Linked DNA regions of Macaca mulatta. The protein of the gene in region 2 interacts with the protein of the main gene of each other region in a pairwise test. Links are inferred from orthologs where the notes say so. Each region holds a gene or a part of one and is shown on either strand. Other genes may lie near its edges.

Region 1 (6,201 bases), on a different chromosome or scaffold from region 2:
GAGAGGCTGCTCGGAGGGCCATGTAGAGATCGATTTTTCCACTAGCCCAGGGTGAGAGGTCAGCTACAGAGCAGACTGGCCACAAGCAACTCGGCCACCATGTGTAGCAGCTCATGTCGGGGCAGGGAGGTGGAGAGGACTAGTGGGTCCTCTCTGAATTCTGCACACTGAGCTGCTTCCCACCAGAATGAGTCCAGAACAAACCCTTCCACTGGAGGTAGCCCCCCTGGGATCGGGGTGCTTGTGTGTCCTCCTGTAACAGGCTCCCGCTTTGGGGGCCCTCAATGCTAACATTCTTGGTGTTCCTCGGCAGACAACAGGAATGGATTTGGTGGTGAAGACAGTGGCAGTTCCTGACACGGGAGACAGTGTGGTGAGTGATGCCTTTACCCAAGGGAACTCAGGGCTCCCCCAGCTGGGCCCAGGGTCTCTGTGGTCACACCACCCTCCCTAGGAGAGATGTAGTGCAAGGCTGTGGCTTGTCTGAGCGTTTCGGAATAGAATCGGGAAGCATTCAGGGGAGGGACTGAGGAGGTGGAGGAGGAAGGAAGGAGGACTAGGATATGGGCCTGGCCCTCAAAGAACGTGTTCTCTACTATCAAGGTTCCTGAGTCTCTGTATGGGAACCTGGGACTCTTGAAAGTGGATTGCAAGGTGTTATGTATGTGTGTACTTTTCCAGAGAGAGGGTTTGTAGCTTTCACCAGATTCCTAAAGAGGTCTGAGAAAAAAAAAGTATAAGTACTTCTGACGAAGAGAAAGGTGAGTGCCCAGGTAACCAATATGCAAAAGAGACCGTGGCACTGATGTTCAGACGGCGTATGCTGGGGATCAGAGGCCAGCCAGGAAATACCCAGTGCCAGGCGGGAGCTTGGCGGGGAGCCGAGGGGTGATTTCCTAGGGGAGCAGCCCTGGGGGCTCTCACGTGAGCTGGCGAAGGTTTGGACGGGGCAGGAAGGGTCATCCCGCACCCTCTGTCTGCATCACTCCTTAGCCATCCCAGAAGGGTGACAGAATGTCCTACTTTAAACACCTTCCCCAGGCCTACTCAGTGACCTCCTTTAGAAAGAATTGTTCTAAGATTTGAAAATCAATTTGGTTAACAAAGTGCAGAATGACCTTTTGGAAACCAGAGCGCTCGCCGGCCTGTTTAACATTCTGTTCTGCCAGGTGGGAAGTCAGCTTGTTCCTGGTATTTTTGCACTCAGGGTTACAAGAGGTGAGACGCCACACAGAAAGTGCTGGTCGGTGCGAGAACCCGTCGTACCGCCTCTCTAAGACTCTGGAGTTCGCTCCTTTCCCCGTCATCTTCTCTCGTGCCTGGGAGAAAGGACAGAGCATGTGTGAAGATTTGGGTGCCTGTATTTCACCCCTAAGACAAGCCTAGTGTGAGCTGAGAGTGATACCACTGACTCGTAGCTTGCGGTTTTTCCACGTGGAGACTTTCTTGCTTTTCTGATTGTAGGAACTCTTCATTTTCGACTCTGCTGGCAAGGAGCTGTTTTCGGAAATGCTGGATAAATTGGCAAGTAGCACGTGGTCCTTTTCCTGACCATCACCACCTCCCGCCAAAACGCTGGTCCCTGACAGTGCTCACACAGCAGTTTCCCTGCACTGTGCTGTTGGGAAGCTCCCATGGCATTCCTCTTTAAGGGGCGTTCCTCCCAGCCCAGACTCGTGGCTACTTGGCAAGAAGGAGCGGCTGATGCGCGTGACTGCCCGGGCCCCAGCTCCGGGGTGCCCAGGATCCAATGGGCCAAGAGCCTTGTGGCTCAGTCCTTGCAGCCCTCCCCCTGTGAGGCCTCCCTCCTTTAGAGCAACACCCTCCTGATGGTGTCCTTTCAGATGGTGTCCCCTACCTCCCAGGACAGTACAGACTGCCTCCTTCCCCTCTGGGAAGTGCTGTAGAGGCCTCAGCCTATAATGAGGCTCACTTTCTGCTGTTCCACTGGGGTTTACTCCGGGAAATGCCCCTACTGCTGCCCAGGGCTCACCATGCCCCATCCACCCCCGTCCCACCAGCCTCGCAGGATCCGCTTGCTGTACCTTCCATGGTAACAGTCTCACTAATCTGGGTCAGTGAGCTAATTAGAAGGTTTGAGTTCTCCAGAGCCCTCCCCTGCCTTTCCAAGAACAGCCACATTTTAATGGAAACTGTTTTCTGCCCCTTTTTTTTTTGTCGCCTAAGAGAAGTAGATCTAATGATAGTGATTTCATACAGGGTTGGCTTCATGCATCGGTTCACGATGTTCACCCCAATTGCCTACTGTGTGCATGGCCTGGCACTGGGGCTGCCATGCCCGGCAGAAGGGAAGATGTATTTGGGCAAATCCAGGCCATGTGCCACCCGTCAGCTCATACCCTTCCCTCCAGCCGGCCCTGACTCCCGGTTCACCCGCTCTGGCTTTAACTTGATGCCAGGCCTCTTCAGGATCCCCTCACTGAAGCCTGGAAGAAGGAGGGTTTCTTGAGTTAAAACCATGCTGAGGTGTCTCCTGCATGCATGTAACAGAGTTCAGTGTGTTCTAGCAGGAGTTCAAGAGTTAATCTGTGGAGTGAAGGGTTCATCAGTTTAGTTCACGGTCCTCCCATCCTGGACATTGCCAGGAGCCAGCACAGCCTTATAGGGTGAGGAGGAGCCCTCTAGAGTGGACTCTGGGCTGGCCTTCCAAGGATCCAAAAGGGAATCCAATCTGGAGGGAAAAGGATTCTCCTCTGTATCCTGGAAGGTTACTGACACCGCAGAAATAAACCAGGTCCTAATTGTGCAAGGTTGGGGGATCCAGAAACCAGGGCATGACCAAGAGTCACAAGCACCAGGGTGCGCACCCACAGCCTGTACAGGGCCATCCAACATCGGGGTAGGCAGCAGGACACCCCAGGACTCTGAGCAGCCCCTGAAGGCGACAGCCCCCCAGAGTGTAGCCTCGGCTCTTAATTGGGTCATGGAGCCCTGTCCAGTTGTCGGTGTGGTTTGGATTAGGCTGATGCAGGGATGGCAAGAGAAGCAGAAAGTGTCCTCTGCATTTTAAAAAGCCAGCCCTTATTAAGAAGATACAAGCAAACAAGCTCCCAGGGCTGGCTAATGAAGAAAGAATCTTCTTTCAGGGCTGGAAAGCACAGAAACATAACTTGCATGGTGGTAGGCTCTCAATGAGAATGAGTGGAGAATGACTGAACGAGGCCAGCCACAGGTGAAAGCAGATTTCTGGGTAGAGAAGACCTCAGTCGTCCCCCATCTCTGTCATCGTTGTCATTGTTTTTAAAGCCTGTCAGGCCTGGACAAGTCACTTAGCCTCCCTGAATTCGGTTTCTTCAGCTACAAAGTGGAAATATTCAGACACTCCACCGCGTTGGGAGGCTTCACAGTGAGGCGCAGAAGCGCCCAGCAGAGCCTGGCCCAGACAGGAGCTCTCGTCCTTGGCGGCACCGCCCCAGCCCTGCCTCCTGCCACTGAACGGGGCCCTCCGTTCATTCCTTTGGGGAAATTGTTTGACTTCTGTGGGTGTGGCTATTTTCTGACTCCCGTCCCCTTTATAGTTTTCTGTTTCCCTCTGCTCCCCATAGCTTTTCCCTTGAAAGGCCAAATTGTCTCCCAGCCTTGAAGTCACTTTTCCTGTTACTGACCCATGCTCATCCTGTCCCTCTTGCACAGTGGGAGAGTCCCAATGTCTTATGTCTCGTCTATGATGTGACCAGTGAACAGTCCTTCAACAACTGCAGCAAGTGGCTGGAGAAGGCTCGGGCCCAGGCTCCAGGCACCTCTCTCCCAGGTACGAGCTGCAGACACCCATGTTTCCCAGAGGCATCGCTGTCCTTCGGTTCAAGAGCACAAGGGCATTGCAGAGGCAGCTGTGGGTGGAGAAGGGGCCCTGGGCTTTGACTTTGATGGCCTGAGGCATACACTGGCCCTGCCGCTTAGCAGCCATGCCAACCTCGGTGAGTCATCACACACACCTCTCCCAGTCTAGGAAATGGGAATGAGGACACGCACCTGGCAGGGCTGTGGGGCAACTCAATACGGGGAGGGTGCTGTAATATCAGTTGTTAATTCCAGAAAGCTAACCCCAGGGAAGAGTTCCTAATTTTCTCTTGTATATGGGGTACAAGTAAACATTCAAGTCCTGTTGTCACTTCTGAATGCTTTAAATCAGTTTATTTTTCGTCCCTATGTGAGATCAACAAATTCTCCTCATTATAGACCGGGGAAAGTGATCTCCAGAGACAGGCTCAAAAATTAGCTGCAGCTGATGCAGCTGGGAGCTGAACTAAATTACCTCTGAATCCCTGACTCCGAGCCGAGTCCTTAGATTAGTATTAATGACCAGTTTACAGTTTGCTCCATGTGCTAGGAATTATTAAAAGGCTCACATAAATTTGGCCCTCGCCTTCACGCGTTTGCAGCCCTTTAAGGAGGCAAGGGAAACAGATATACATGAGGTCTAGAAAAAAGATCTAGCAGAAGCTGTGCATGAAAAGCAAAGCCCACCTGTCTCTCTGTGGCCGTCAGGGCCAGCATGAGAGACCCCCGGCTTTCCCTGTGGGGTCTCACCACCTTGAGTCAGGCAGCTCTTAGAGGATGCTTTACACCCCTCAAAAATAGTGCTCTCATCTCGCCCGCTGTCCTTCCAGACTGTGACAGTGAAGTGTCATATTTTGGTTGTTTCTTCTGAGTAGGTGTTTTAGTTGGGAACAAGACAGACCTGGTCGGCAGGCGAGCAGTGGACTCAGCTGAGGCCCGGGCATGGGCGCTGGGCCAAGGCCTGGAATGTTTTGAAACATCCGTGGTGAGTATCTCCGCTTGCCTCGTCGCCAAGTCTGGAGTGGGCCTCTGCTGGCAGCGGTCTTGCACATGACCTCACGTGCAGGGAGCTGTTATTCCACCATATGCAGAGTCTCATTTGGAACTGATGTTTACATTCTTAGCCCAAGATCTCTTCTCAATACAGCAGTAGCCGCTTAGACATAACAGGAAGGCAGATTAGCCAGCCAACCCTGGGAAAAGGTGTATCTCAACTAGTAAGAAACAGAAGTGCATGGTGTGCGGTGATCATGACCCTTGACGTTTGCATGCGGTATTCTGGGTTCAGATGTTGCTGGAACATTGTTTCCTGTGGCGCTCACAATCAGGCCTGTGAACCAGAAGTTGGCTTCACAGTTCCCATTCCAGTGTTGAGCTGCTGAAGTGACTTGTCCAAAGTCCCATGATTAGTGAAGGGTGGAGCCAGGACTAGGACTTGTGGCCTCTAATTCCCATCAGTGCTGCCCATCCTCACCTTGCTGCAGCCCCAGGGTGACTCCAGGCCACAAAGTTCCTGCCAGTTAAAAGATCAAAAGACCTCATTAAGTAGAAAAAGCAAGTGATTTGTTATCAGCATCTTCAGTACACTTTTCATGGCAAAAGCTGCAATTACTTTTGCACCAACCTCATGTATCATGATTTTAGCTGTCCAGCACTGAGGAACCCGCTTCCTGTGTTTGGGAGTTTTAAAGTCCCTTCCTCCCTGAGGCCAAGATGCAGGCATGTGACCCAAGCTGCATCAATCAGATCCCTCACGTGAGACTCCACTAGGAAGGGCATGAAGTGATGACCTGCCCTCTAGGAGCAGGAGTGGCCCCAGACATCCATCTCAGAACCAGCAGGGGTCGGGGTGTTGGTTGCCCTGCCCCTTGCCAGGGTTGCTAGCTGGGGAGACCACCAGGCCTGGCACAGTCATGGTCATAACTTGGACCTCATCTTGTGGCCTTTAGACCTGATTCTGTGGCCCTCAAAAGAGTCATGGGCTGGTTAATGTTCTGGAGATCGTCTTCGCATGGGCTGGTTAATGTTCTGGAGATCATCTTCGCATGGGCTGGTTAATGTTCTGGAGATCATCTTCGCATGGGCTGGTTAATGTTCTGGAGATCATCTTCGCATGGGCTGGTTAATGTTCTGGAGATCGTCTTCGCATGGGCTGGTTAACGTTCTAGAGGTCATCTGCTGCCCCAGCTTGACTTTGGCTCTAGGCACTTCCGCTGTTGCATCTAGGAACCTTGACCAGTGCTGCTGTCCAAGCTTATAAAATCCCCTCAAAGCAGCATGCTTCCTTTGCAGTGGTAAAGGCAGCCACTCTGACCTCCCATGGAGAGCAGGAGAACTCGCCATGGGAACCTGGACATGTTATTTCAACTGTTGGTGCCTCAGGCCTGTAAAATGAGGATA
Region 2 (6,722 bases):
TCCAAGAGAACTACCAATGCAGGAATCCTGTCTTTGGCTTCCTCCATAGATTTCTTTGGCTTCTTCCATAGATTATGATCTTTTACTGACTTTTCTTGGATGTTTCCAGGGATGAAAGAAATTTAAAATCTTTACTTTGCACGAAAGTCCTTGTCTCTCCAAAGTTCCTGCTCAAAATGTGTATTTGTTGAGTTCAGTTCACACCCCTGGAGGTGTAAAAAATCCTTTTTCCATTTGTGAGCACCACTGAGAATAAAAATGGTAGTCATATTTCTATTTTTCACCTTCCTCTATGTAATATGGTTTATAGATCATCATGAACTTTTTACTCTCCTCTGAACAATATTGCGCCTGACGATGTCCTACTTAAAACATACTACCCAGAACTGAACACAGTGTTCTGGATGTGCGTCACACGATGTTAGTACGTAGTATATTATACTATTAGCTTCATGCTTATTCATCTTCCTTGACTCTGAAACTTGAAGGCAAGAACCAAGTCTTAGTCCCTAGGTTGTTATATTCGTCTTTGCAATACTAGCACAGTGCTTGGCCCTTAGTTCAACTGGTGTTCAAAAATGTTGATGGAATGTGGTACTTCCTTAAACTCTAAGATAGCATTCCATTACCTTTAGGGGCAGATAGAGTACACTGTTGCCTTATATTGACTTTGTGATCAACCAAACCTATATGTATCAGATCAGAGGTTGGCACACTTTTTTGTAAAGGGCCAAATAGTAAATATTTCAGGTTTTATGGGCCTTGTAGTCTGTTTCAGTGACTCAGCTATGTCACTGTAACATATAATCAGCCATAGGCAATATATAAGCGAATGAGCATAGCCACTTTCCAATATAATTCATGGACATTAAAATATGAGTTTCATGTAATTTTTGTGTGTCACAGTATATTTTGATTTTAAAAAATATTTTAAAATGTTAAACACATTTTTAGCTTGTGGGCAGTACAAAAACAAATGGCAGGCTAGATTTGGCTCACAGGCAGTAGTTTGCTAACCCCTGATTTAGACTAACCCTTGTATGATTGATTTTTTCCAAAACTGAGTAAAGGTTTTTACTTTTATCCTTATTAGATGACTTACTCATTGCAAGCCATCTTTCTAGCTTACTCATTTCTTTTTGAATGCTAATTCTGTCACCTAGCGTATCAGCTGACATCCCAAGCTTTGTGTCTGCAAAATTGATGAGCATACTTTGTGCATCCTTAATTAATAAAAATGTTGAGTAGGATAAGGATAGAAGTTCTCCACAAGTTCATTTTCTTCCATTAATCATCATTCTTTGAGTATAGCCACTCAGAGTTAGAAATATCTACCTAGAGTACTGGCTGTCACCCAATTCATATTTCTCTGTCGGGTTCACAGGGTATCTTGAGAAGCTTTGTCTGAAGCTTTGTCGAAATGTTTAGAACATGTTCCAAATGGGTAGGAATTCCATCAGACAAACAGAAATGTATAGGTTTGGTTTAGCTTGTAAACTAATGTTACTGCTACTTCCAATTTTAGTACTTCCTTGGTTACATTTTCAAGGCTACCATTTTAATAATGAATTTTAATAATTTTAGGGTTTTGTTGAGAATTAGCATTCAAGTTTATCAATCTGTATTTACAGAATTCATCATCTTTCTCCTCTTAAAACTAAGGCTTGACAATTCATCCCACACTGACTGTTTTTCTGGTATCAATAGTGTCAAAAGCTGTGGTAAGATTGATAGAGAAAAGAGGCACAAAAAATTAAAATATATGTGTTTTCTTACCAATGTTACCACACTTTTAATACTATCGATACTAATTTTTAAAATATAATAGAAAGTGAACTGTATTCTAATAAATAAAAACTAAGAATAAATGCATTTTTATAAAATACTGATACTGGCCGGGCACAGTGGCGCATGCCTTTAATACCAGCACTTTGAAACGCTGAGGCAGGAGGATCACTTGAGGCCAGGAGTTTTAAGACTAACCTGAGCAAGCTGGGTGTGCTGGCTCACGCCTGTAATCCCAGCACTTTGGGAGGCTGAGGTGGGCGGATTACGAGGTCAGGAGTTTGAGACCAGTCAGGCCGACATGGTGAAACCCCGTCTCTACTAAAAATACAAAAATTAACCTGGCGTGGTGGCGGGTGCCTGTAATCCCAGCTACTCAGGAGCTGAGGCAGGAGAATCGCTTGAAACCGGGAGGCAGAGGTTGCATTGAGCCAAGATCGTGCCATTGCACTCCAGCTTGGGCAACAAGAGTGAGACTCCGTCTCAAAACAAAGACTAGCCTGTGCAGCATAGCAAGACCCCATCTCTACAGAAAAAAAAAAAAATTTTTTGGCCTCCCAAAGTGCTGGGATTACAGGCATGAGCCACCGCACCCGGCCTAATTGAGTATTTTTATGGTATTCCATGTTGTTCTCCTCTGTTGACCTTCTTCCTGTACCTCTGTGTTTTTGTTTTTTTGTTTGGCTAGGGTAGTCAGGGACTTATTTTGTGAAGCAGAGTGGCAGAAATAGTCATGTCATATAGATTATCCCTGGGAGAGGTTTCTTATATAAACAAACATGTTAGAGTCCCTCCCACATGTTGAATAGCTTGGCTGTTAAACCATCTGCTAGGCAACAGCCTTTCCTTCTCACTTGGTTTTCTCAGATAAAGTTTAGAGAATCAAGAAGTTGCTTTTTTTGTTATTTTTTGATTTGCAGGTTAAACATTTTAAGATGAGAAAAATTGATCTCTGTCTGAGCTCTGAAGGGTCCGAAGTGATTTTAGCTACATCAAGTGATGAAAAACACCCACCTGAAAATATCATTGATGGGTAAGAGTTACTATAGTTTGTTGTTTACAGTCTTAAATCAGTGAATCCCTTGAGTACTTGGACTGTGTTTTATAACAACTTGCCCTATTAAACATAGTTTAATAAATGTTTGGTGAATTATCTGATATCCACTTTTGGTACCATTTCTGAAACTAATTCAGTTGTGTATATTTAGGTTTTTGATCCTTTTCTTTATAATGCCTAAACTGAACTCTTCATACAAATAGGTTTTTTTAGAAGTGGTTTACCAAGGCAAAAACTCAAACAACTTCATTTTATGGAAGTGTAAATTTTAAGGTCTGGTTTTGGTTTTACTCCAAGTTTTTCTTGGAATAAGAATGTAAATATTATAACTTCCTATATACTACCTATTTCCTTACTGGTCTAAGTGATATCTTTGCAGAACTGAATGCTTCATTCCGTGCTATCACGTATTGTTTTGCCTCTCCCCTTGTTGATATCCTTCCAATTTCTACTCTTCATTGTGCTACAGCTTTTTCTAGGTGGATATTTTTCTAAATATTGTTCTTAGACTTCTGATTCCAAGAAAAAGCAGTTAATGGGAGAACTCCTTTTTTTCTTTTTTTTTTTTTTAAGACAGAGTCTCACTCTGTCACCCAGGCCAGAGTCCAGTGGCGCCATCTTGGCTCACTGCAACCTCCACCTCCCGGGTTCAAGTGATTCTCCTGCCTCAGCCTCTTGAGTAGCTGGGACTACAGGAGTACGCCACCACACTGGGCTAATTTTTGTATTTTTTAGTCGAGACGGGGTTTCACTATATTGGCTAAGCTGGTCTCAAACTCCTGACCTTGTGATCCACCCACCTCAGCCTCCCAAAGTGCTGGGATTACAGGCATGAGCTACTGAGCCCACCTGAGAACTCCTTTTTATTTTGAGACGGAGTTTTGCTCTTGTTGCCCAGGCTGGAGTGCGATAGCACAATCTCGGCTCACCAAAACCTCCACCTCCCGAGTTCAAGTGATTCTCCTGCCTCAGCCTCCCGAGTAGCTAGGATTACAGGCATGCACCACCACGCCTGGCTAATTTTGTATTTTTAGTAGAGATGGGGTTTCTCCATGTTGGTCAGGCTGGTCTTGAACTCCCGACCTCAGGTGATTTGCCCACCTTGGCCTCCCAAAGTGTTGGGATTACAGGCGTGAGCCACCGTGCCTGGTGGAGAACTCCTTTTTTAATACTTCTGGCTTATTACTTTCTTGAACCCTCTTTCTTGGTATATGTACAGTGACCAGAGTTTGACTCATAGAACCATCTAATTTTAGGCCTGGAAGGACTTGTGGGTTTATTTTGCCAAAACCCTTTATTTCAGACTTGTGGTGAGAGAGGTCTAAGGAGGTTAAGTACTACTTTTAATTATTGAAGGCAGAACCAGTTGTAACAGAGGTTTCATGATACTTTATGTATCTTGAAGCCCATGTATCTGGATGAAATTCTAGCAACTCAGCCTCTTCCTTGAAGCCTAGTTGTAATCTTTATGACAACTGACTTTTCCCCTCAGATTCCTTTAGCTCTTTGCTGGGGTCCAATAACAGTTGGTATATACCTCTGTTACCTTACTTTTTCCTTTATTGTATTGTTTATTTTTAATGGTTGTTTCCTCTCTCAACTGTGAATTCCTAGAAGTCAGAGACTTTTTCTATGAGTCAAACTTGACTAATATTGGAAAGTAATCAACATCTACACACACACGCATACATATAAACACATATATATGCACATATTACTCTACATTTGCATAGGGCTTTATAATTTCATAGATACTTTGTCAGTTGACCCTTACAGTAATCTTGGGGAATAAGAAGCACAAAAAAGTATTTTCAACTCCTTCGTAAAGATGAAGAAAAGAATGATCAGATGACTTGCTCAAAATAAAAATGACTTGCTCAAAATTACACAGATAAGCAAGAGGCAGAATCAGCTAACACTCATGTCTTCTAACTTGTACTCAGGGATCTTTGTGCTACACTGGGTTAACTCAAACTTAGTTTGAATCAAAAATTTAATATCTGCTTTTTGCCTGTGTCTCTTCTTTCTTTTTCTTAGTTGTTTACTTCCTGAAATTCAGGTAATAGTTACTATCCTACTCTGACTTGGAGTAGAAAAATTAATATGGGAATTGCTTTAAGAATACACAGAACTGTGGAGATTTGCCTTAAGTTGTTTGCCAGAAATAGAGGACTTTCCAGAAACACTCCTTGATTTTGATTGGAGATAGATTAGTTTTCCAAGGCAAGATCAATTTACCTTGCAATACTTTGGTGATCTTTCTCTCAAGCGAGTCTGTTTTATATGTTTATAGAATGTTAGGATTAGCTATCATATATTGCAGTTAATATTTTAGGCTCTGTCCATTTTGATAAATAAGGACATAATATTTTTTAGATTAGACAAAAACTCTTAGTACAGGAAAACATAAGGAATAATGTAGTTACTCTCCTGATAACTGAACAGAGTACATAGGGGACTTTTAATGCATATGCAGTTCTAGAAAATATAATTAGACTGTATATTGTAGACACTAAAAGTTAATTTCTGGCCAGGTGCGGTGGCTCATGTCTGTAATCCCAGCACTTCAGGAGGCTGAGGCAGGCAGATTAGTTGAGGTCAGAAATTCAAGACCAGCCTAGCCAACTTGGTAAAACTCTGTCTCTACTAAAAATACCAAAAAATTAGCCAGGTGTGGTGGCGTGCGCCTATAGTCCCAGCTACTCGGGAGGCTGAGGCACCAGAATTGCTTGAACCCAGGAGGTGGAGGTTCAGTGAGCTGAGATCATGTCACTGCACTCCAGCCTGGGTGGCAGAGCGAGACTGTCTCAAAGAAAAACAGAAAGTTATTTTCTGTTCACAGTTGCTTTATCTAAATAGAGTAACCATAGAATTATTTGGAGAAAACAGTGCTATAAATGTGTCCCTACGGGATAATGGAATATTGTTTTATGGCCCTGCTCCAAACTCTCCATTCCTTCAGAAATAAGAGTTAAATAAATAGCCAGGCATAGTGGCTGAGGCAGGAGGATAGCTTGAGGTCAGGAGCTTGAGACTAGCCTGGGCAACGTAACAAGACCACATCACTAAAAAAAGAAAATGATTATACTTCTAGTTTTCCTCTGCCCTTTGTATTTAATGTGTCAGTGAAAAAGGGGAAAAGAGGTTCTACACTAGGAAAAAAAAAGCCAAGTAAAAAAGAAGAGAGAGAATCAGTTCTTTTGGTGTAGTGTAGAAGAATACTGTATTTAGAATTAAAATTCCTGGGTAAGTGAACTATGTGTTATCTTGGTCAAAGAGTATATATATTACTCTTTGAGCCTCAATTACTGATCTGAAAAATGGAGGATAATACCACCTTTCCTGCTGACCTCAGAATTGAGAAAAAAATCCCATGAGATAATCCATGTAAAATAGGTGTTAGCTATAAAGTCATATTTAAAAGAAAACTACCACTTTGATGACTTCCTTATATATAATTACAAGATTTAGTTAGATGTCTTTTCTTTTTTTTTTTTTTGAGACAGGGTCTCACTCTGTCACCCAGGCTGGAGTGCAGTGGCATGATCTCGGGTCACTGCAACCTCTGCCTCCTGGGTTCAAGCGATTCTCCTGCCTCAGCTTCCCGAGTAGCTGGGACTACAGGCATGCACCACCATGTCTGACTAATTTTTGTTTTTTTGTTTTGTTTTGTTTTCTGAGATGGAATCTTGTTCTGTTGCCCAGGCTGGAGTGCAGTGGCACAATCTCAGCTTAGTGCACCCTCCGCCTCCCAGGTCCAAGCAATTCTTCTGCCTTAGCCTTCAGAGTAGTTGGGATTACAGGTGCACGCCACCACGCCCAGCTAATTTTTTGTATTTTTAGTAGAGACAGGGTTTCACCATGTTGGCCAGGCTGGTTT

Evidence for each region. The genes of interacting proteins can lie anywhere in the genome.
Region 1: the proteins of IFT25 (region 2) and IFT27 interact in binary tests that used the Homo sapiens proteins (3 or more experiments, as listed by UniProt). The two-hybrid records come from large-scale screens. The link is inferred for Macaca mulatta from reciprocal best matches to the Homo sapiens genes IFT25 and IFT27.

What each region holds. Positions count from the first base shown.
Region 1 is NC_133415.1:14,783,640-14,789,840, forward strand, and holds part of IFT27 (intraflagellar transport protein 27 homolog), read left to right. Parts: intron 1-313; coding exon 314-373; intron 374-1,464; coding exon 1,465-1,524; intron 1,525-3,654; coding exon 3,655-3,772; intron 3,773-4,676; coding exon 4,677-4,786; intron 4,787-6,201. UniProt on the Homo sapiens protein: Small GTPase-like component of the intraflagellar transport (IFT) complex B that promotes the exit of the BBSome complex from cilia via its interaction with ARL6. Not involved in entry of the BBSome complex into cilium. Prevents aggregation of GTP-free ARL6.
Region 2 is NC_133406.1:186,669,982-186,676,703, forward strand, and holds the start of IFT25 (intraflagellar transport protein 25 homolog), read left to right. Parts: upstream 1-2,703; 5' UTR 2,704-2,720; coding exon 2,721-2,818; intron 2,819-6,722. UniProt on the Homo sapiens protein: Component of the IFT complex B required for sonic hedgehog/SHH signaling.